3 linked regions of the Pelodiscus sinensis genome follow. The protein of the gene in region 2 interacts with the protein of the main gene of each other region in a pairwise test. Links are inferred from orthologs where the notes say so. Each region holds a gene or a part of one and is shown on either strand. Other genes may lie near its edges.

Region 1 (7,160 bases), on a different chromosome or scaffold from region 2:
AAATAATTGCACAAATGAAGGGAAACACACATAGTTGAGCAGTGGGGAAAAAAAGAAATGCTAAGCAAATGTCTGAGTCTTCTGTTCGACTTTGGGTCCATGTAATTTGCCCTTGGTTCTGCTCACATAACTCCTGTTGTCTGCAGTGGGAGTTCTGCCCAGTACCACTTGACCACATACCAATAAAAGAACAACTTCCAGTAGAAAAACTCAGCACAGTTTTTACTGGCTTAGCCACGGAGACTCCATTTTGGTGAAGCTGCTGCCTGTGGACCACAGGGATTCTTGCTTCAAGGCTCTGCTTAGCAGCTAAGTAATATAACACACATACTCAATAAGTTCAGCCTCTGAATGTACGACCCTGCTAATTGGTTGCCTGGTCACCAGACAGCAAACACAATCAGCCACAGCAACAGTTTTAAAGCCTAAGTGTCCAATTCTGCCATCAGTACAGGAATTACACACATGTAACTCAGAGCAGATATGGATTCTAAGGCTATGGGCTAATCCTATGTAAAGTGTCAGCCAACTGGTGATCACATCCTAGACAGAAGTGTCAATGGTATAAATAGACCATACATAAACATTTTTAGACAGTTTTACAGCTATTCTTTTTTTCCTAGTGTAAGAACATATGAAATATTCAAGACATGCAACCTATATCTACCATATATCTAAGAAAAGAATCAAGCCTTCAAAGATTACAAAGCATAAACTCACCGTGAAATTTGTTACCAAATATATTTAATCATCATTTGCCAGTCTGAATTTGTGGCTCCAGAAAGTATCAACAATGGAAACCATTAAGTTTTTAAGTTATACAAATGGAAGAATATTTGAAAAAAATCTTCGTGAACCAGTCTCATTATGTCACATAAGTGATAAGTGTTATCAGATTATTTGTGCAGGGTCAGAAAAGTGTTTTGAGATGTATTTGTCCTTCATCCTCAGGCTGCACAAATCAGGCTTTGCATAAGCGACTAGTAAACAGCTGTCAGGGAGGCAGAATACAAGCCTCTCCTCCAAGTGGACAAGAAGATATGGGGCAGCAATACAAACTTTCTTTGATCCACATTCCAGTCTGTGGACTGGACCAGCAGATACTAGCCCCAACCCCAAACATTCACACAAGTTCTCTCCGTATTCAAGAATTGTGGAGGGCAGGATAGATTAATTATTAATCTAGTAACTATCCCATCCACGACTTCCCCTGTTGGTTTATCTGGCGCCTGCATGGAGCCCCTTCTGAGATCCACCTGAGGGGTACATAAGATCCCCTGTGTGGCTATTTTGCCTGAACCCGCCCTTTGGAGTCCTAAAGCAATGCTTCCACACTGTAGGATGTCTTACAGCCAACAGACTTGTATTTCACAATGAATTTTCACAGCTGCCTTAAAGATTCTAAAGATGGGGCTACAATATAAAGAGTGACAAGTGATCACAAACAAGCTTGCAAATACCTCATTGTGTCCCACAGTACCAAATAAAGCGAAATTTACTTATACCTGATTTTTTTTTTTTTACAATAAGTGTTTTCATGATGGCATTTAAATGAAAAAAAAAAAAGACTTTAATTGACATGTTCGTGATTATCATTAGTTTAATTTTTTTTTCTGTGAAGAAATAGCCACTCCTTAAAATGCCCTACTATAGAAATTATTCTCCTGTTCTTTGTGAGCAATTTGGGTGTGATTCTCTGTAGTGCAAACTGGAGCCTACTGTACCTTATCAGGAGGTGGGAACTGTAGCTGATTGACGTCCAGGGGTGTGATCAAGGGGATAGTGTCAAATCCATCCTCCAAGAGGGGCTGCTTTGTGCTCTTCTCACTGAAATTATTCCCTAGTTTCACCATCCTTCCTGGATTAAAAAGAAAAAAGGATTTCCTACAAGCACACATACAAAAAAAAGAAAACCATAACGTAGTGCTACTCAAACACATATTATGGCAAAAATATATCCCCCCAAAAAACACACAAATCCTAAAATACATTTTTTCAGGCATCATTTCTTCCGTTGATCTCAAGTGACCTAATTCCACTTTTTAACATCCCTCTCACTTTCGAATGGTCATTAAGAAGGCATCAGCTGTAACTGCATGACAGTTTTGGGGATGGAGGTGTTGTTTTCTAAGCGTGACTAACTACAACGGTGTATTCCTTCATAGCCGAAGGGTGAACTGCATCCTCTCCAGAGCGCTTTCTAGAAGCCCTGAATAACATCCAGCGGAAACGCAACATCTTTCCATATAATGGTATCCATCCATCCCCACAGTCCTCTCCATCCACAAAGGGGATCACTGCACCTCTCCACCTATCTACATCCATAGAGCTTCTCTTCTTCCTCTCCCCCTGCCCCCCGCCGCCGCCGCCACCGCCCCACGTCCATCAATCCATTTCCACAGTCTCCATTGCTGCATCCTTGTGTCCAGCGACACCGCCCCCCTCTGCGCACCGTCCCTGCTCCTCTTGCTCTGAGCGCGCCCGGCTCCAGAGGACGTGGGTGAGAGCGGGGCGCAATGAGAAGCCCTCCACGTCCTTCCCCACCCTGAGCTGCTAGGGGCATGAAGCTCCCACCCCAGCAATAATCGCTGGCGACGGAAAAGCCGCGGCTCGCACCTACCTCAGCTGCTCCTCTGCCGTTCCCTCTGTGCGGGGCTGGTGGGTGGGTGGGTGCAAGGTGGGGGAGGCTCCGAGCCCTCTGTTTCAGCGCTGGGAAATGGCGGCGCGGCTCGGACGCCTCTTCGGAGCGGCTCGGGCGGGAGGTTGGGTGCAGGGGAGCGACGCGATCGATCGGCGCTGGGCTGCCTTGGGGTTAATGGGCTCGTGCGCGTAGCTCGCAGCAGCAGCAGCGCCTCCGCCGTGACGCATCCGCCGCGTGTCTTAGGGCAGATCCGAGCAGCAGCAGCACAAAGGGGCCCCGGGGGGCGGGGGAGGCGCACGCTTGGCTCTCCCTGCGCCGGCTGCAGCAGGTGGGGGGGGGCGAGGCTCCCCCTGCAGAGCGCTACAAGGGGGAGGGGGGCGCAGTGCTACTTGTAAGGCCCGTGGGTAGCTCCCGCTAGGGGAGCGCGGCGCCTTGTTGTCCCCCCGCTTCTAGCAGCCAGGAGGGGAGCGCTGGGCGCTACAATCGGGCTGGGCTGTGAGAGGACAATGACCTCGCTAAGCCCGTGAGGCAGCGGTACAAGCGGGCCGGGGAGCGCGCGGGGGGAAGTGCAAGGTACAAGTGACTAGCGCGGGGGGCGCTGCATGACACAAGAGAGCTGGGAAGGGGATGGGCGTTGCGCGCTACAAGCGGGCTGGGGGCCCGGGGTGGGGCGGGGCGCAGCGCGGTACAGGCGGGCCGAGGGCACTGCGCGGCTCCGAGGCGCGTCGCTTTCGCCGGGCTACGGGCGGCGCTTCAGGTCCTTCCCTACCGGTGGCAGGAGATGCGGTGCAAAGGGCCTGGGTGGGGCCGGAGGCTTTGTTCCTGGGGCGCGAGCTGCTCCTGTCCCCGGGGCAGCGGCGCGCGACGCTCCCCGTAACTAGCCTGCTCCTCCTAGGGGCCGGGGGCATGCTGGGGACTGGGAGCCGCCTTATGGCCGGGGAGATAGGGAGGGTCGCGTTGCCCCTGACTCAGCTGTATACGCCTGTCTGACCCGGCCTCGTACCTGTGAGCCCCGGGCTCCATGCACCCCCCCCCCCCGCAGCTTGGTGGGTGCTGGTGAAAGAGGGATAAAAAACGCTGCAATCCCTAATTGAGGGAAATCTTCACTAAATAACCCGCCGAATGCGCCCTGCCTGTTGGTGCAGCCAATTTATCATTTTAATTGCATTGTTTTCCTGAGCCCTGGTAATTGAGGCCACGATCCGTTATTCAGCTTTTCTGGCGTTTGCTTGCTTTGCTGCTGACAGGCTGCGCATAAAGTATTTCAGCACCTGCACAGCCTCTTCAGTGTCAGAGGCAAGTCAAAAAGCCAGAGGAGACCTTAGGGAAGGGAGACAGCCCAAGGCAATGGTCCACCTAATATTCAAGCTGCCTCATAAGTATGGGTAGGAGACTGAAGATTTTTATGCTTCATCATTTGGACGGTTAATCTTGCCCTAAAGCATTTTCTCTGTCTCCAAATTGTCAAGCAGACCTGCTGTTCAAGTTAGTTTTCTGTTTTGACCTTGCTGCATTTTACTAACTCTTGTATTGAAGTCCAGGGCACTTCAAGGCAGACTCAGATCATGCAGCTTTAAACCCAAGCAAAAAGCCATTTTGGTGGGGGAAATGGTTCAGGTGCACTCCATTAATGTCTTGTAACCCCAGGCAACCAGTGTGCACTGCTTGTAATCCCCTAGGTGCATCGCTTTCTGGGAAGCAAATGTAGGCATCTTGAGGAACACTGAGCTACATGTTATGAAATCATAGAATCATAGAACTGGAAGAGACCTCAGACGGTCATCAAGTCCAGCCCCCTGCTCTAGGCAGGACCAATCCCAACTAAATCAACCCGGCCAGGGCTTTGTCAAGCCGAGACTTAAACACCTCTAGTGATGGAGACTCCACTACTTTCCTAGGTAACCCATTCCAGTGCTTCACTACCCTCCTAGTGAAATAGTTTTTCCTAATATCCAACCTGGACCTCTCCCACCGCGAATGGGGACCATTGCTCCTTGTTCTGCCATCCATCACTACTGTGAACAGCCTCTCTCCATCCTCCTTGGAACCTCCCTTCAGGAAGTTGAAAGCTGTTATCAAATCCCCCCTCACTCTTCTCTTCTGCAGACTAAACAGACCCAGCTCCCTCAGCCTCTCCTCATAAGTCATATGCTCCAGCCCCCTAATCATTTTGGTTGCCCTCCACTGGACCCTCTCCAATGCATAAGAGAGAAGGAGGGTACTCAGCCAAGACCTACTGACAAGAACCAAAATCCACCTAAAATAAAACATTTCTATTATTTGTAAAATATGATCATCCTCTCCTTCCTTGTGGGCTTTGATCTCTTAAACAGAAAAAAAGTAAATCAGAGTTAATCTATTGGAAATGAGATGAGGGGTACTTCACATCTTTTTTTGTATCTTATTGGTTCAAAGATTTTGCAGAAGAAATTAACCACTCTGTTGGTTTACACTCGTCACATGGTGAAGATTGCTAGCATATGGGCTAGAGCAGTGTTCCCCAACATGGTGCCCGTGGGTGCTATGGCACACGGGGGCATTTGTGTGCACCCGCCAAGTTCTCAGGGCTGGCACATACGCGGTGTCAGCCCCAGGCGCACTGCGCATACGCGGTGTCGGCCCCAGGAGCACTGAGCATACACGCATACCACTGGTCTACTGCATGCGGAGCACCGGCCCCAGGCGTGCAGTGAATTGACCGCCTGCGCTCCGGGTGTGTGGTGCATGGGAAGTGCCGCTCCTAGGCGCGCGGCAAATTGGCTGCCCTGGCCCCAGGCACGTGGCAAATTGGCCGCCCCGCCCCCAGGTGCATGGCTATGGGGGGTGCCAGCCCTGGGCGTGTGGCTCTGGAGGGCGCCAGCCCCAGTCTTGCGGTGAATGGGCGGCCCTGCCCGTGGCCACGCAGTGCATGGGGTTGCTGACCCCAGGCACGTGGCTCATGGGAGTGTAGCGTATGCGCGGCCCCACCCCTGAGCCTGTGAGTGTCCCTGCCCTCTGGCTCCTGGTGGGTGAACGGCCCCGCCCCTTGGAGCCCAGCAGCTCCAAATGGTTGGGGACCACTGGTCTACTGCAATTGCTCCCCTCCCCCCGCACCTGAGGAAGGTGGGCTGGTTGGGTGACCTGCCTTTTTCCCAGGTCTGCCAATAGGAGTGTGTACTGCAGAAAATGCATGTGTGGTGTCTGGCATCCAGCTAGAGAGGGCTAAGGCAGCAAGACAGAAGCTGATGCCCCACCAGGAGCCTGGCTTGAAGCTCACTCACCTCTCCTATAACAGTGCACCTCCAATGGGCCCCTTTCGCACATGCTTGCCTCACCTGGGGGCCTACTGTTCATCGCACATGGGGCTGTTAGCCCCAGCCTACAGCCAGGAGCGGGCCGAAGTCGGCTGTGGCAGCTGGCATCCTAGGCGGAAGGAGCGATTGGCACCCCTGCCTGCATGGCTGTCAATGGTCGTGACGTCATCATCGGGTGCCTGTGCCTGCAGTGCCCTAGGCAACTGCCTAGTTTGCCTAGGTCCGCGAGCTGCCCCTGACTACAGCAGGGACCATGTGGAACCCAGAGGGAGCCTAGCTGGAAAAGCACATTACAAGCCATGTTGCATGCCTCTACCTGCAACGGAGTGCCCCAGCTGGCAGTTACTGGAATGGCACCACCTTCTTTTCCCCTCTGCCCAGGAGTAATGCTTCCACTGTGCTGTGGGATTTCAAAAACCTCCTAGAAAGCACTGTCTGATAAAGGCATACATGTGTGCTTTCGTGACACCAATAGTTTGGAACTGAGGTTAATAAAGACCTACTAGCAGATGTACCTGGGATTGCTCAAGTCTTTAACTGAAGTAATTTAAAAAAAATGAAAAATGCACATGCTTATTTCAATTATTGTATTTTTTTTAAATGAAGGCTGGAGTGAGAGTTTGTAAGCTCACAATATCCTATTGTGAAAAATCACCTTTAGAGCAATTTAAAGTGATAATGCAAAGTACACTTTGATTCTTTCTTTTGTTCTCTGAAGGCCAGGATATAATTTTTTATATCATTACTTCCTTTTTTCTCTTTGGCAAATGATTTATTTTCCCTTCTGTTTCTCAAGTAACACAAGCCAAATAGATTTTCCTTCACTGACTCTTGTCATAAGCATTAATGATAACGTCAATGTCATCAGCAGAGTTCTAGGAAATACAGTTCATTAAACTCCTGGCTATTTGGCTGTCTGTTCAGCAAGCTGGCTGGCTGGCTGTTCAGCAAGCTTTGTTTTGCTTGTCAGAGACCATCATTTTCAATGGCTATTCACTTGCTTTTAAAAAGTTTCTTGGTGAAGTAGCAGGAGCCACAGGACACCCCTAAACTAGCATGTTTATGGTAGGTGAAATTTTGGGCTTGTCTGTATTGCTTTTAAACACTGGCCCTACGTCTACACTGGCCCCTTTTCCGAAAGGGGCGTGCTAATTTTCAACTTCAGAATAGGGAAGTCCGCGAGGGAATTAAATATCCCCCGCGGGATTTAAATAAAGATGTCCGCT
Region 2 (7,392 bases):
CTCCAGCTGCATCTAGACTGGCAAGTTTTTCCACAAAAGCAACTGCTTTTGCGGAAAAGCTTGCCAGCTGTCTACACTGGCTGCTTGAATTTCTGCAAGAACACTGACGATCTCATGTAAGATTGTCAGTGTTCTTGCGGAAATGCTATGCTGCTCCCGTTTGGGCAAAAGCCCTCTTGCGCAAATGCTTTTGCGCAAGAGGGCCAGTGAAGACAACGCGGTATTGTTTTGCGCAAAAAAGCCCCAATGGCGAAAATGGCCATCGGGGCTTTCTTGCGCAAAACCGCGTCTAGATTGGTACGGACTCTTTTCCACAAAAAGCTTTTGCGAAAAAGCGTCCGTGCCAATCTAGACGCTCTTTTCCGCAAATGCTTTTAACGAAAAAACTTTTCCGTTAAAAGCATTTGCGGAAAATCATGCCAGTCTAGACGTAGCCTCTAGGTATTATAGCCATCTACCACATAAGCTAAAAGCCTATGTGGTAGCTAAGACTGCTAGCTAAGGCTGCAGAGCCAACTAGATGCCACTAGATGGGACAATACACCACACCCTGAAGCTGTGGGTGAATGGGCTACATAGCAAATGTGCTTCTTGCTTTTCTTCTTCACACTTAAGCTCTCACAGAAAGGCCCCAATCCTGAAATCCAGTCTGCACCATTGGGGCTCCTCTACTGATCTGACTGCAGAATCAGAGCCTAACCTGGGAGGCAGCATGGTCTAGCAGGCAGAGTACTAGGCTAGGCATTCTGAACACCCTGAATACCATCTACATGTTTTGTTAGTCTATAAAGTGCTACCAGACCATTTGTTGTTTTTTTCTGTAACAGACTAACTCGGCCACCCCCTGAAGTACGGATGGTGAATTTGTTGTCCGTAGGATTCAGAGCCATTTGGAGGAATGGCGTGGATCTCATCTCCAGAGCTAGTACTGCAGATTTAGGCAGACCACGCTGCTCAGTTTACCCTTGGATTGTGTTTTCACTTGCAACCATGTGGCTTAGAAATGTAGCTAGCTATTCAGCAAAGCACTTACCTCATAGAGGTAGCATTACAAATGGTGCTTAGCTACTACAGTAAGGGAGGGGGGATATAGTAGATAATAGGCATGTAAAAGTTTATCGGGTTAACCAGTAGGGACTGGAGCAGCTTCCCACCTGCTATGGGCAGGGGGCTGCTCCAGCCCCACGGCAGGCCCCCAGGTGCCTTGCAGGCAGGGGCTGCTCTGGCTGAGACTGCTCCAACCCAGCTAGTGCAGCTTCTGCCTGTGGCAGGGGGGATGCAGGCAGGGGCTTCTCTGTCCAGGCTGAAGCAGCCTCTGCTTGCAGCAAGGGGGAGGCTGCTCCCACCTTGCTTGCCCCCCCCTTAAATTGGTTAACCAGTTAAATAGTGTGTAACCGATTAGCCAATTAAATGGGATTTTACATCCCTAGTAGACAGACAGACCCCAAACTGGTGCTACATACCCTCTGATGACTGGACCATATGCAATTGTACAGCTGCTGCAGGGTTGTGAGACAGGGTCTGCATGTTCGCTGGCTGATCTGTATCTCCACAGAAGCTGGCTTCATCAGAGATCCAGGGGGAAGCGGCCTCCTGTGAGGACAGCATGTCTCCTGCCACATTCGCTAGCCCTGCAATAAAACAGACAGTATGATGCTCACTGTCCTCCTTCCCAAAGGAAGCTCTCTGCTGGGGGTAGCATAGGGACCAGCCTTCCCAATGCTGTCCTCATAAGCACTAATCAAGGGACACCTGATTAAACTGCAGCAAATTGATTGATCGATCGTATTCCACTAGACAAGAATAAAGGCTAGAGCGGGTAGGGAGGGACTCACTCTACAGGGGTAGCTGTATTGGTGTAGTTACACCAGGACAGCCAGACCCTTAGATTCCCCCACATGTATCATTCTAGGAGCTGGCTTTGGCCCAGTGCCATCAGCACTCGGCCCCGAACTGTTCGCTTTTGGAAGAGGTCTCGGGAACCCCTCCCCTGCTTAGACTGGAATCTGTCTTGTCTAATCAACTTGGGCATCCATGGAGCAGAGGGCAATGTGGGGGTCAAGACACCCCCCCCATGCCCATTAAAAGCTTATTTGCGGGGTCAGCTGGTGCTGCCCTCTCTACCCGAGGGGATGGATTTAGGGTAGACAGCCTATCTGAGAGGGGTGTGTGGGAGTGGTGCTGAAAGAAGCGGGGACAGTTGTACCAGGCTCAGGGCAGCCCCCACAAGTCTGTAAAAATGGGGTGAAATGGGATATGATGAGCCAATGGGCCAGGTGACCTGTGGGCATTACCTGGGATGTCTGGCCGACATGAGTGTATTTAGGGAGAAGAGCATATTTGCTTAGCATCAATGGGTTTTATTCTGACTCAGCCATTGGCTTGCTTGGTGACCTTGAGCAAGTCCCTGCCTCACTGTGTGCCTCAGTTTCCCCATCAGGGGCTAATGATACCAACCTTTTTTGTGGTTTATGGGGGCAGTGGGTCTGTGGGGCTCTCTGGAGCTGGTGTGAGTGTGGTGGGCAGGGGAGATTTGGGGTTGGAGCTTACAGGGGGGGGAGCAGGTCTTTGGGGCTTTCTGGGGCTGGTGTGAGTGCTCAGGGACAAGGGGGGATTTGGGGTTCAGTGGCTTTCAGGGGCAGTGGGTCTTTGGGGCTGGCATGAATGTGGGGGGACCAGAGGGGATTTGGGGTGGTTGGGGGACTTCTGGGGGCAATAGGTCCGTGGGGCTCTCTGGGTGAGTGTTGGGAGGTGAGGGGGGGGGTTGGGGCTGTGGGGCTGGCATGAGTATGGGGGAAGGGGGATTTGGGGTTGGGAGCTTAAGGGGCTGCGGGGCTCTCTGGGGCTGGTGTGAGTGCTGGGGGGCAAAATGGGGGGACTTGGGGGCTGGCAAGGACAGTGGGTGTGTGGGGCACTGGCGTGAGTGTGGGGGCAGGGCGCTGAGGGGGGGCGTGCCCCCCAACATTAATTCCCTCCTCGCATGGGGGGGCGGGGCACCTCCTCCCCCCGCCCGGGGCAGCCCGCTCGCTGGGGGCTGCCCGGGGGGAGGGGCGGGAGGGGCTGGCGCGAGCCTCAGAACGATGCCGCCCGGCCCCTGAAAAGGCGGGAAAATTCAAACTTGGGGCCGGGCGGCGGTTGGGGGCGGCAGCAACGGTCGCGGCTTGAGCCCCTTCTGTGCGCGCGCGGCGGGGGGAGGGGCGGGTCAATGGCACCAGTGACTTCATAGACGGAGGGGGAGGGGGGAGCGGGGATTCCCCCAAATTAACCAGGCTAATCACCCTCTACAGTTATTAAGTAGAGGAGGGGGGGGGAGAGGCTGCCCCATGGGTAGGGCACCCCCCCCAACGTGGGCAACCCCCCCAAAAAAGTGACACCCCCAATGAAACAAACACTGCATGGCAAGGGGGGCTGCAAACATGAGAGGGGGACCCCTAAACATGCTCAGGCTGAAGGCTAGTGCCCAGGGCCCTCTTAGCATGTTCCCACCAACCAGCATCATGAGATGGGGAAACTGAGGCACCGAATGTCAAAATGACATATCCAACCTCCGCATGTGGGAGGATCTATTTGCTAGGCCCTTTTGGGTGTGTCTAGAATACAAGGGTTTTTTGTTTGTTTGTTGGTTTTTTTTTTTTTTTAAAGTGGCCTTTTTTCGAAAAAAAACTTCCCCTGCGTCTAGAGTGTTGCTGCGTTCTTTCGGAAGTAAATCAAAAGAATGCAGCAGTTTTTTCGACTGCGGAAAACCTCGTTTTACGAGGAATATCGCCTTTTTTCAAAAGTGCTCTTTTGAAAACAGGTGCTATATAATGCAAACTGTGCTTTCTTGAAAGAGAGCATCCGGACAGCCTGGGTGCTCTCTTTTGAAAAAGCGGCTTGCTTTATCGAAAGTACTGGTTGTAATCTAGATGCTCTTTTTCGAAAGAGGCTTGCAGTCTAGACGTAGCCAAAGATGCTTATTTCAGCCATATTGTGGGAGGGGGGGTCTCCTTTGAGGGCTTGAGGGTACCTGCCGGGTTGGAAATCATAATGGCAATTTAGGGATATATCAGAGGTCACAACAACAAAATGACCCTTCACATCCCCTGAATGGCCTCTTCTTAAATTAGGGTCTCCCCCCAAATTAGGTAGATTAATTCCCCAAATGCACATGAAGTGAATGAGGCAGGCAGAGAGGTTTGGGTGCTTACGGGGGCAATGGATGTGTGGGGCAAGGAGCTGCCATGCCACTGGGACCTGTGGCCCAGGGATATCCCGGAGTGAGGGGTTTCCCCAAATTAAAGGGGATTAATTCCCCCCCACAAAATTGAAATCAGTGTGCTCTACTTTGGCCCATAGGGTGTACAACATGGGTTTGCTGTGGCATCATGACCTTTAACCCTGCAGGCAGTCCCTCCCAGCCATGAAAGTCCCCCCATAGAATAAAACCTGATTAATTCTCCTACATATCTGAATAAACTTTCCATGTGGGCCAAGAATAGCAAGGCTGGGGGTGCTGTTGTGACACAAGGCTTTCCCCTGGAAAATTAATTCTCCCCACCCCACCCACCAAAAAAGTGGTATGATCTAGTATGATCTAGTCCAATCATGCCCTCTGTCCCCCGCAAATAACCCCTGAAAATGGATAACTTTGTGCCCCAGGAGGTCACACCTGTTTCTACACCTCCCAGGGGCACACCTCAATGGAAAGCGACTGTAAAGTGGTGACTGAAAGGCTGTGGGACCTAGCTCGTCCACATGGAGGGGATTGCTCTGTGTTCTCAGCCTAGCCCTGGAAGAACAGACAGCATGCGATGCCAAGGCATGTCATGGGCATGGGAGATGTGTAACCATCCAAGACCTTTGTACTTGCACAAACAAGATAGGCGTGAACCACTGCTGTCTCTTCACAGATACATTTCACACCTGTAGAGACTCTTCCACTGGCTCGGTGGACATGGGGAAGTCAGTGGATGTTATATACCTTGACTTTAGCAAGGCTTTTGATACGGTCTCCCACAATATTCTTGCCAGCAAGTTAAGGGATTGTGGATTGGATAAATGGACGGTAAGATGGATAGAAAGATGGTTAGAAGGCCAGGCCCAGCGGGTAGTGATCAATGGCTCAACGTCAGGATGGCGGTCGGTTTCTAGCGGAGTGCCCCAAGGTTCGGTTCTAGGACCGGTTTTGTTCAATATCTTTATTAATGATCTAGATGAGGGGATGGATTGCACCCTCAGCAAGTTTGCGGATGACACTAAGCTGGGGGGAGAGGTAGATACGCTTAAGGGCAGAGATAGGGTACAGAATGACTTAGACAAATTGGAGGATTGGGCCACAAGAAATCTGATGAGGTTCAACAAGGACAAGTGTAGAGTCCTGCACTTGGGACGGAAGAATCCCAAGCATAGTTACAAGCTGGGGACCAACCGGTTAAGTAGTAGTTCTGCAGAAAAGGACCTGGGGGTTACAGTGGATGAGAAGCTAGATATGAGCCAACAGTGTGCCCTTGTAGCCAAGAAGGCTAATGGCATATTAGGTTGCATTAAGAGGAGCATTGCCAGCAGACCCAGAGATGTCATCATTCCCCTTTATTCGGCTTTGGTGAGGCCGCATCTGGAGTATTGTGTCCAGTTCTGGGCCCCCCACTACAAAAAGGATGTGGACGCATTGGAGAGGGTCCAGCGGAGGGCGACCAAAATGATTAGGGGGCTGGAGCATATGACTTATGAGGAGAGGCTGAGGGACTTGGGTCTGTTTAGTCTGCAGAAGCGAAGAGTGAGGGGGGATTTGATAGCAGCCTTCAACTTCCTGAAGGGAGGTTCCAAAGAGGATGAAGAGAGGCTGTTCTCAGTAGTGACAGATGGCAGAACAAGGAGCAATGGTCTCAAGTTGTGGTGGGAGAGGTCCAGGCTGCATATTAGGAAAAACTATTTCATTAGGAGGGTGGTGAAGCACTGGAATGGGTTACCTAGGGAAGTAGTGGAGTCTCCATCCCTAGAGGTATTTAAGTCTCAGCTTGACAAAGCCCTGGCCGGGTTGATTTAGTTGGAATTGGTCCTGCTTAGAGCAGGGGGCTGGACTTGATGACCTTCTGAGGTCTCTTCCAGTTCTATGATTCTATGATTCTAAGTGTGTGTGAGGATTTCAAACAGGTGACAGAGGAACAGCCCCAAATAGTTTTTGAGGGATGAGCAACTCGGTCCTCTGGTTTGAGAACTGCATCCAGCAACCATAGAGTGGGGTCACTACTCTGATCTAAAGCAAATTGTGAGATGGATAATAATCATTGCAGTACGCAGTGGTTTAGCACAGGAAGGGGAGAGTAACAAACCCACTTCTGATGCTTTAGCAATGACGACAGAACTTATAATAGGATGAATGGAACTGGTTCCAAATTGCACCAGCAGCCTAGAGTTACTCTTGCAAAAAGTGCCACAAGCATCAGTTTTATGCACCATTTTGCTCCCTCCATCCTCACACACTCTTTTTGTAGCCTGTGGATCTGAGCAGCAAGTGGCAGGCAGAAGTGTCAGCATAATGAACCAAACCACAAGTGCACACATAATGAAACCAAAACTCCAGAAATACAGCTTTGCCTACAGAGCTACAACATGATAGGAGCACCAGGTGCCTGAGTTTGTTCTCTCTCACAAGCATTCCCTCTCTGACATGTACACGCACAATCTGATCTCATGCACAAACGTCACATTACAGTAGTGCTGTCACTGACAATAAGAAAAACATTAATATAGCCCCAAACAGAGCTAGAGCCAATAGGATATTGTGAGGATTAATTAAAGCAGCCCAGGATTTTATATAGATTGCTGTACAAAACAGGATTCCAGCCTTCTGAAGAAATAAAACTACAATTATTGCATGAACTTTGAAGACAATACACAGGGATAATACGAATCTGATGTGTGACTAAGACCCAAAGAATGGCCCAACTGGGTCAAACCAAAGGTCCATCTAGCCCAGTATCCTGTCTTCTGATGGTGGCCAGTGCCAGGTGCCCCAGAGGGAATGAATAGAACAGTCAATCCCTGTCACCCATTCCCAGCTTCTGGCAAATAGAAACTGGGAATGGGTGAATTACTTAATTTCAATCAAATAGTTGAGGTTGATTTGCTGTAAAGAGGCTGGAAATTGGTCACAGTCCGGATATTTGGCTGGCCAATCTTGGTGGAAAACTATGAAGATGTGGACAAGGTGAAAGAGAAAGAGAGAAGGGACGGACAAACCCCATCAATCGTTAACAGCTATGATTTAAAAGTCTGAGGCGTAGCCATGTTAGTCCGTAACTTAAAAAAAAAAAAGAGTAGTCCTGTAGCACCTTAGGGCATGTCTACACTAGGAAATTATTTTAAAATAACTTACTTCGAAATAATAACTCCCAAAACAACTATTTTGAA
Region 3 (6,912 bases), on a different chromosome or scaffold from region 2:
TCCTGCAGCTGGGCAATCTGCTTGTTCAGGCTGTTGATGTCCTGGGGGAGGGAAATTGCTCCAGTCTCAGTTGTGGCCCACACCCCCACCTGGTCCCAGTGGCCCTTAGGCTCCCACCCAGCTGAGGCTGCTGTTCATAGGCTCCAGCTCCTTTTGTTCCTGCCCACCCCATCCCACCTTCCAAATAAAGAGGCCATCTCTCCCAGCCACCAGGAGATGCTAGCCCTGCTCCCACTAACCTGTTTAATGATATATGTCAGCTCCTCTATCTCCACTGCCTTGTCATCAAACAGGGACTTCCGTTTGGCCACTGAGGACAGAGGGGTATGGTCAGGGAGTGTCCTATGAGGCCTGACAGGGATTCCTTTCCTCTACCACAAGTGCCCTGCTTTATCATGGCCCCCAGGGTCAGAACTACTCCCCCATTCAGGCCCAGCATCAATTACCCTCCCTTGTTGCTCCATAGCAGCCACAAAGCCCATCCCAACTGAGTGAGAATCTCCAGTTCACAATGGCTATAAAAAAAGCAAGAAGCCATGTTAACCCCAAGTGCTATCAGCAGCCCCTCCATGAAGGAGCCCATACCCCAGACAGCCCTCACCCTCTCCCTCCCTCCCTCCTCCCCTCCCCGGCCACTCACAGATGGTCAGCTTCTCCAGCTTGGCAAAAGTGTTGCTGAGATCTTTGCCGATGCGCCTGGGAGGAAACAGAACAGGAGACCAGAGTAAGGGTGGGATCTGTGCTTCCTCAGTTGGGGCCTGCTGACTAAATCATCAGTAGAGCACTTCCTCCTTAGCTCAGCTCTGATCCCAAGGAGAAACCCCTCTCAGCCCCAACCCAGGCAAACCAGCCTATAGCCATCCCACAAGATCCCTTCCCGGCACACTGATCCTGAGTCAGCCCAACATACTCCCAGGTTATCCAGCTGCTGAGCTCCCTCCCCAGATCTTGGCTAGTCCAGCCCTCACCCCACTCACTTGGCTATGACAGTGAATTCACTCCTCTGGCGCATGGCATTCAGGGTTGGTTTGTTCGGCTGCAGCCCATTCTGAAAGGAGAGACAGACTGAACTGAGGTGTTCTGGAGCAGAGAATCCCCCACACTAGCAAGGAATGGGCCTGACACCCCCAGGAAATGAAGACTCACCTGTCTGCTCTGCAAGGACTTGCAGGCAGAGAGGAACTCCTGGGTGCGATCGCGGCACGACATGGTGTCCGGAAAGGGCAGGGATGAGGCAACAGTTGTGGTAGCAGATGGGGACAGCTCCTGTGTCTGCGAAGGTCCCAGATAAACGCCCTGATGCGTGTTCTTAGAGCCGTGGCGTTTTCTCGTAGTCATTGAGGCTCATAACCTGGTGCTAGGGGAGGGGAGGCCACGGGTTCAGGGGCTTGGTTAATAGCTAAGGACCAAACTCCACCCTTCACCAGTCCCCATTAACCCTTTCTTCCTCCCTCTCTTCTCAAGCACACTCACTATCACATCACCTGCCCAGTCCCACTCATCTCTCCTCACCACAGCAAAGAGGCCAGGCAGTTCCAAGGCACTCTTGCCTGCCCCATTCAGAAGCAGCTCCTGATGCAAAATCCAAATGGGGGTCAAGGCTCCCAGAGCTCAGAGATATATGTAAAGGCTTCCTCTGCAATTCATCTGCAGTTCAGAGAGGAGTCTGCTTTGTGGTGCCCACTGTGCAAGGGAAGAGCCAGGCATGTCAGCAGGAAGAGACCCCCTGCCCCACTGCAGAAGCCTCCTAGAGGAATCAATCCCACCATGTCCCAGATTTCAGTGAGTTCCAGTCTCCACCAGAGCAGCCTCAACCAAGTCCAGACAAACAAGACTATTTGGTGACAGACATTAGCAGCTCCCAGAGGTGCACAAACTAGCACTGCTAAGGGTACAGCTGCATCCCCCTGCCTTGAAGTGGTTTTCCATCCTAGGAAGGGTTTACAATTTGGTTCAGTGGCTCTCAAGATGCACTCTGTACAAATTGTTCCAATACCCCGGAAGCTCCTTACCCACCAAGCAGGGATCCTGGCTGTTGGAGTCAGTGTCTGAACCAGGTAATTAGGATCAGAGATACACACAAGTGGAGGCAGGACTGGGGGTAAATAACCATGAAGGCACTTAGGTCCCTCTATCCATTCCCTGTAGGGTCCAATTTTTTTGGTGAAGGTCTAAATTTCTTGATCAAGGTATAGTCAAGGTCCACTCTCCAGAGAAACATTTTTCACGCCGCCACCACCACCACAATGATAACAAGACTTTGTGACTTATTTAAAAACATCTGGGGGCGCAGACTTGGCCCACGATCTGCCTATTGAGTTTCTGGTGAGAGCTGCCCCACAACCCCGCTTCTGCGCAGCGCTCAGAGTCGCTAAGCCCACTGAACAGAGGCGGGGAAAGAAGCGCGCGGACGGGGGGGGGGGGGGGGGGCTGACTTGCACTGAAGAGCAAATAACGGCAGGGGGGCAGAGCCCAAGGGAACCTGCCCCCCGCCCGCTTTAAGCCCCGGGCCCAGAGCAGGGAGTGCGGGCAGGAGGCGCAGGGCAAAGGCTGTAAGGACCCGCCGGGGACAGGCCCTGCAAGGGGAGACGGGGCAGGCGACCCAAGCGGGAGAACATGAGGAGCCCGGAGGGGCGCGGGGGGGACTCGCCGCCCCTCCGGGGGCCCAAAGCGGAGGGAGGGAGGGAGGGAGGGAGAGACGCGGGGCCCCGGGGAGGAGAGAGGTCCGGGGACTGCCCAAGCTGGGCCCACCCCTACCGGCGAGACCCCGACTCCGCCCCGCGACTCACCGAGACGCGAATCTAGCTTTGGTCGTTGCAACCTAGACCCCACCGGCCGGGAACTACGTCACTGCCACGTACACCTCGCGTAACACGTCAACGCGCCACGCACATACGTGCCCCGCCCCCTCCCCAGGGGAGCGAGAGTTTAAAGGGGCCGCGATTATCCGCGAACTTTCTGATCCCTGGTGACCTCGGCTCGGCGGCCTGGCCGGGTCACGGGCCCGGGCCAGGCCCCAAACGGCCCATTCGGAGCTGGGCTCCTCAAACACACTCCGCAGGGACTACGGTCCTACCCCCCCAACCCTGCCCCTACAGCCCCCCCTGCCGTGATTCCCAACCCTACAGCAACAGCTACCCCTGCTGTGGGGGCCTTCTCCCTTACAGCCTCCCCCAACATGGGGGCCTGCTCTGCAACCCTGCCCCTTCAGCCCCCCCAACATGGGGGCCTGCCCCCCATCATAAAACCATAGAGCTGGAAGAGACCTCAGAAGGTCATCAAGTCCACCCCCCTGCTCTAGGCAGGACCAATCCCAACTAAATCAACCCGGCCAGGGCTTTGTCAAGCCGAGACTTAAACACCTCTAGAGATGGAGACTCCACTACTTCCCTAGGTAACCCATTCCAGTGCTTCACCACTCTCCTAGTGCCGCTACAGCCCCCCTTCTGTGGGGACCTTCTCCCTTACAGCCTCCCTCAACATGGGGGCCTGCTCCCCAAGCCTGCCCCTATAGGCCCCCAACATGGGGGCCTGGTCCCCAGTACTGTCCAGGGCAGAAGGCCCAGCCCAGACACAGCTGTGAAAGTTATGTTTATTCCCCATCTCTGTTAGTTGCAAGGCAGCTGTCGTGGGGCGGGGGCCCAGCCTTCAGAGGGCTGTTCTCGGGGTCAGACTCGCTGGGCTCCGGCAGCGCAGTGACTGAGGTAGCGCTCTTGGTGCTCCGTATGGAATCACGCCGGTTGCCAAAGATGGAGACGCGTCTCCAAATGATCCGGATCTTGAGGCTGTCCGAGGAACGCACCGCTGGGGCAGAGTCCGCGATCCGCAGCTGCTTGCACCTAGGCCTGCGCTTGCTGTCTGCAAAGGAGGAGTGTAGACTATCAGCATGTTGACCAGACTGCCCAGCCATCCCTCTGCTTGGGATTATTTATACAGATATTATCATGACACTGATTTAACCATTAATTCCTTTATTAAATCCAAAAGCCAAATAATATTTATACAATTGCTCAAAACATACCTACAAGGCCTAAATAATAAGCAATTTGCCACATCTAGACAAAAACAAAACATTCATAAATATTTGATCAAGAAACTTACAAATGATCTAAACCAAGGGGGTACCAGTCAGCTTCAACATGGCCAGACAGTATATTGGCAATGCACAAAACTTTGAGATAACCTTTTAACAAACAAGTGATGTCTGGAAGCCAGGTACAGACTACAGTTAAAACCAATTGGAGACAGGTCATCTTTATTCCCTGGTTTAATCCAGACAATGTTTACAACCTCTTTTCCCTCCTTCCTGCTTATCAACAGTTTTTCCTTTGTGTCCAACCGTGAAAGTAAATTAAAAATGTCTACAGGTACTGTCCTATTGTAACCCAGGTCCCCGCCAGCTCTTTAAATAGCTCCCTGCTAGCTTTTGCTACAGCTCAGCCAGCTCTTGCTAGAGCTATGCACCAGGGTGCATCTGCTTAGTTTCACCTGTTTGCTCCTGGGTTCACACGGGGCTCTTAATTTTTATAACAACATTGGTTGGTGCGGTGGGAAGGGCTATGTTGGCTCATGCTAAAACAGAATCTCTTTGTTTTATTTAAAACTATCTGCCATCACCCCTCCCAGTCAGAGGCCTTCTCTTCAGAAATATCCTTTCATTTCATTAGTTATTCTTTGAACCAGGCATCCGCCCTACTTCATCGCTTCTGGCCCTGTAACTAATTACTTTTGTGGCCTTTCTTTACAACACACATCTTTCTTCAGCTGAATGTAAGCTAACTTTAATTTCCTAATTTTTATTTATTCTACATTCCCCACTTTGAAATCCAACATACTATGTGGGTTTTACTACATTAAAGCATTTCAAACATACTTCTACAATTTTGGAAAATGGTATCCAACTGCCAAACTTTGCAATATAGAATTAACAGAATAATTATCACAATAATGTAATTACCAAACCGTTAAAATAACCACCTTTACTATGGATGTAATTCCACACTATGGCTATGTCTACACTCGCGGCTTCTTGCGCAAGTAATATGCAAATGAGGCTAAGCATGGAATATTGCCGAGCCTCATTTGCATATCTAATGAGCCACCATTTTTTTCAGAAGAGGCTCTTCCGCAAGAAGGAGCCATTACACCTATTACTTTTCAGGAAGAACAGCATTGCGCAAGAGGGTTTTTCTTGCGCAAGAAGGGGCAGTGTAGACGCTCCTTCTTGCGCAAGAGCCTCTTCTGAAAAAAATGGCTCATTAGGTATGCAAATGAGGCTTGGCGATATGCCACGCTTAGCCTCATTTGCATATTACTCGCACAAGAAGCCGCGAGTGTAGACATAGCCTATAAGCTTGCTCTGCCTTTAAAACATGCTTCTGCAATTTTATCTTTGCCTATGTTTCAATTATATTATACAAAACTAGTATAAAATATATAAATCTTTCCATTTATCACCACTGGAAATTCAGGTGTGAAATAGAACATAAGCCAATTCAAATAGCATCCTCTGTGTCCATAGTAGAAATGGCCCTTTCCCGTCACCACACGATACTGGCCATTAGCAACATAGGCACTTTTTACTTCACCAGCTTCCCAGTGTCTCAGCCATACTGAGTGGTTTGGAGACTGCTTCCTCAGAGTGAACCTACAGGCTGGCAGCTGTGACAGTAAGACATTACACCCACCCATGAAAGGTCCTCAGGCGCAAACCCAGATCTTGTCACTACCATGCAACACCATGGCTACATCTACACTGGCAGCTTCTTGCGCAAGAACTGTTTTGCGGAAGAGTTCTTGCGCAAAAAGTCTTCCACAAGAGCGCATCTACACTGGCATGTGCTTTGGCACAAGAGACGTGCTTTTGCGCAAGAGCGTCTATGGCAGTCTATGGCCATATGGTCTTCTGCCATTTTAGCCATAGGGGTTTCTTGCACAAGAAATTCATGTCGCCTGTCTACACTGCCCTCTTGTGCAAGAGCTCTTGCACAAGAGGGCTTATTCCTCGTGGGGAGAAGAATAACTCTTCCGGAAGAAGCCCTGTTTTCTGACGCTGTACTGTAAATTTACTTGCGCAAGAACGTGTGTACTGTGTAGACACCCAGCAAGTTTTTGCACAAGAACAGCTGTTCTTGCGCAAGAAGCCGCCAGTGTAGACGTAGCCATGCATATGTGTCACAGTACTTTCCAGTACTCACACTGGTAACACTTTGGTCAAGGCTTTCTTTTTTCACAAACTTTATGGTATTGTAATCTTGTTCCTTTCTTGCCTTGCACCTATTATAATTGCCTCCCTTGTACCAAATCTTTAACTTTTCTGTGGTGCTAAAAGAGGGCAATCTTCTTTCTTCTGTCATTTAAGGATGCTTTCACTTTATATAGCATGTATTTATAGTATATTATTAGTGTTATTGTTTTTGATCTTTCCTGGTAGCAAATTAATTTTATCATGTGCATGTACAAAAAATGACCACATCATGCCTATGAAACAATTCAATGCTTTTTTGTCAATAAATTCTTTGCTTTGTTAATTTTGAAAATACAATATTCTAGGTACTAACTTGTTGAAAACACTTCCTCATTTAGTGGATGCAATCCTTCTGCTGCTAACTTCTGTTAAAATGCTTGCTCATATTCCCACAGCCACTCTATGTGAGCTTGGTTTCAAAGTGACATACCAATCCCAAATAGTTTAGTTTAGTTTGCCAATTTTATTAGTTCCCTTCAGTTTTGCTGCTGTCCCATCTTGGCGGGTTTAAGCATTTTAAAGTTTAAATTATTGTCTGTAAAGTCCTTTTAATGATCTGTAGCCATTTTTTACCAAATTGCAGTGACAGTGAAATTCAGTAAAATTAGTGCATGAATAAGTTACCCATTATTATACAATATCTTCTTAATAGATTTAGCCCTAAA

Evidence for each region.
Region 1: the proteins of KASH5 (region 2) and NSG1 interact in binary tests that used the Homo sapiens proteins (3 or more experiments, as listed by UniProt). The two-hybrid records come from large-scale screens. The link is inferred for Pelodiscus sinensis from reciprocal best matches to the Homo sapiens genes KASH5 and NSG1.
Region 3: the proteins of KASH5 (region 2) and STX5 interact in binary tests that used the Homo sapiens proteins (3 or more experiments, as listed by UniProt). The two-hybrid records come from large-scale screens. The link is inferred for Pelodiscus sinensis from reciprocal best matches to the Homo sapiens genes KASH5 and STX5.

Annotation. Positions count from the first base shown.
Region 1 is NC_134715.1:110,540,250-110,547,409, reverse strand, and holds the start of NSG1 (neuronal vesicle trafficking-associated protein 1), read right to left. Parts: upstream 3,002-7,160; 5' UTR 2,621-3,001; intron 2,292-2,620; exon of another isoform or gene 1,990-2,291; intron 1,885-1,989; 5' UTR 1,854-1,884; coding exon 1,725-1,853; intron 1-1,724.
Region 2 is NW_027465974.1:153,140-160,531, forward strand, and holds the start of KASH5 (protein KASH5), read right to left. Parts: upstream 3,022-7,392; 5' UTR 2,458-3,021; intron 1,632-2,457; 5' UTR 1,609-1,631; coding exon 1,464-1,608; intron 1-1,463. UniProt on the Homo sapiens protein: As a component of the LINC (LInker of Nucleoskeleton and Cytoskeleton) complex, involved in the connection between the nuclear lamina and the cytoskeleton.
Region 3 is NC_134721.1:36,452,229-36,459,140, forward strand, and holds the start of STX5 (syntaxin-5), read right to left. Parts: upstream 3,002-6,912; 5' UTR 2,790-3,001; intron 2,369-2,789; exon of another isoform or gene 2,013-2,368; intron 1,974-2,012; exon of another isoform or gene 1,513-1,973; intron 1,358-1,512; 5' UTR 1,339-1,357; coding exon 1,147-1,338; intron 1,049-1,146; coding exon 978-1,048; intron 697-977; coding exon 641-696; intron 311-640; coding exon 240-310; intron 42-239; coding exon 1-41. UniProt on the Homo sapiens protein: Mediates endoplasmic reticulum to Golgi transport.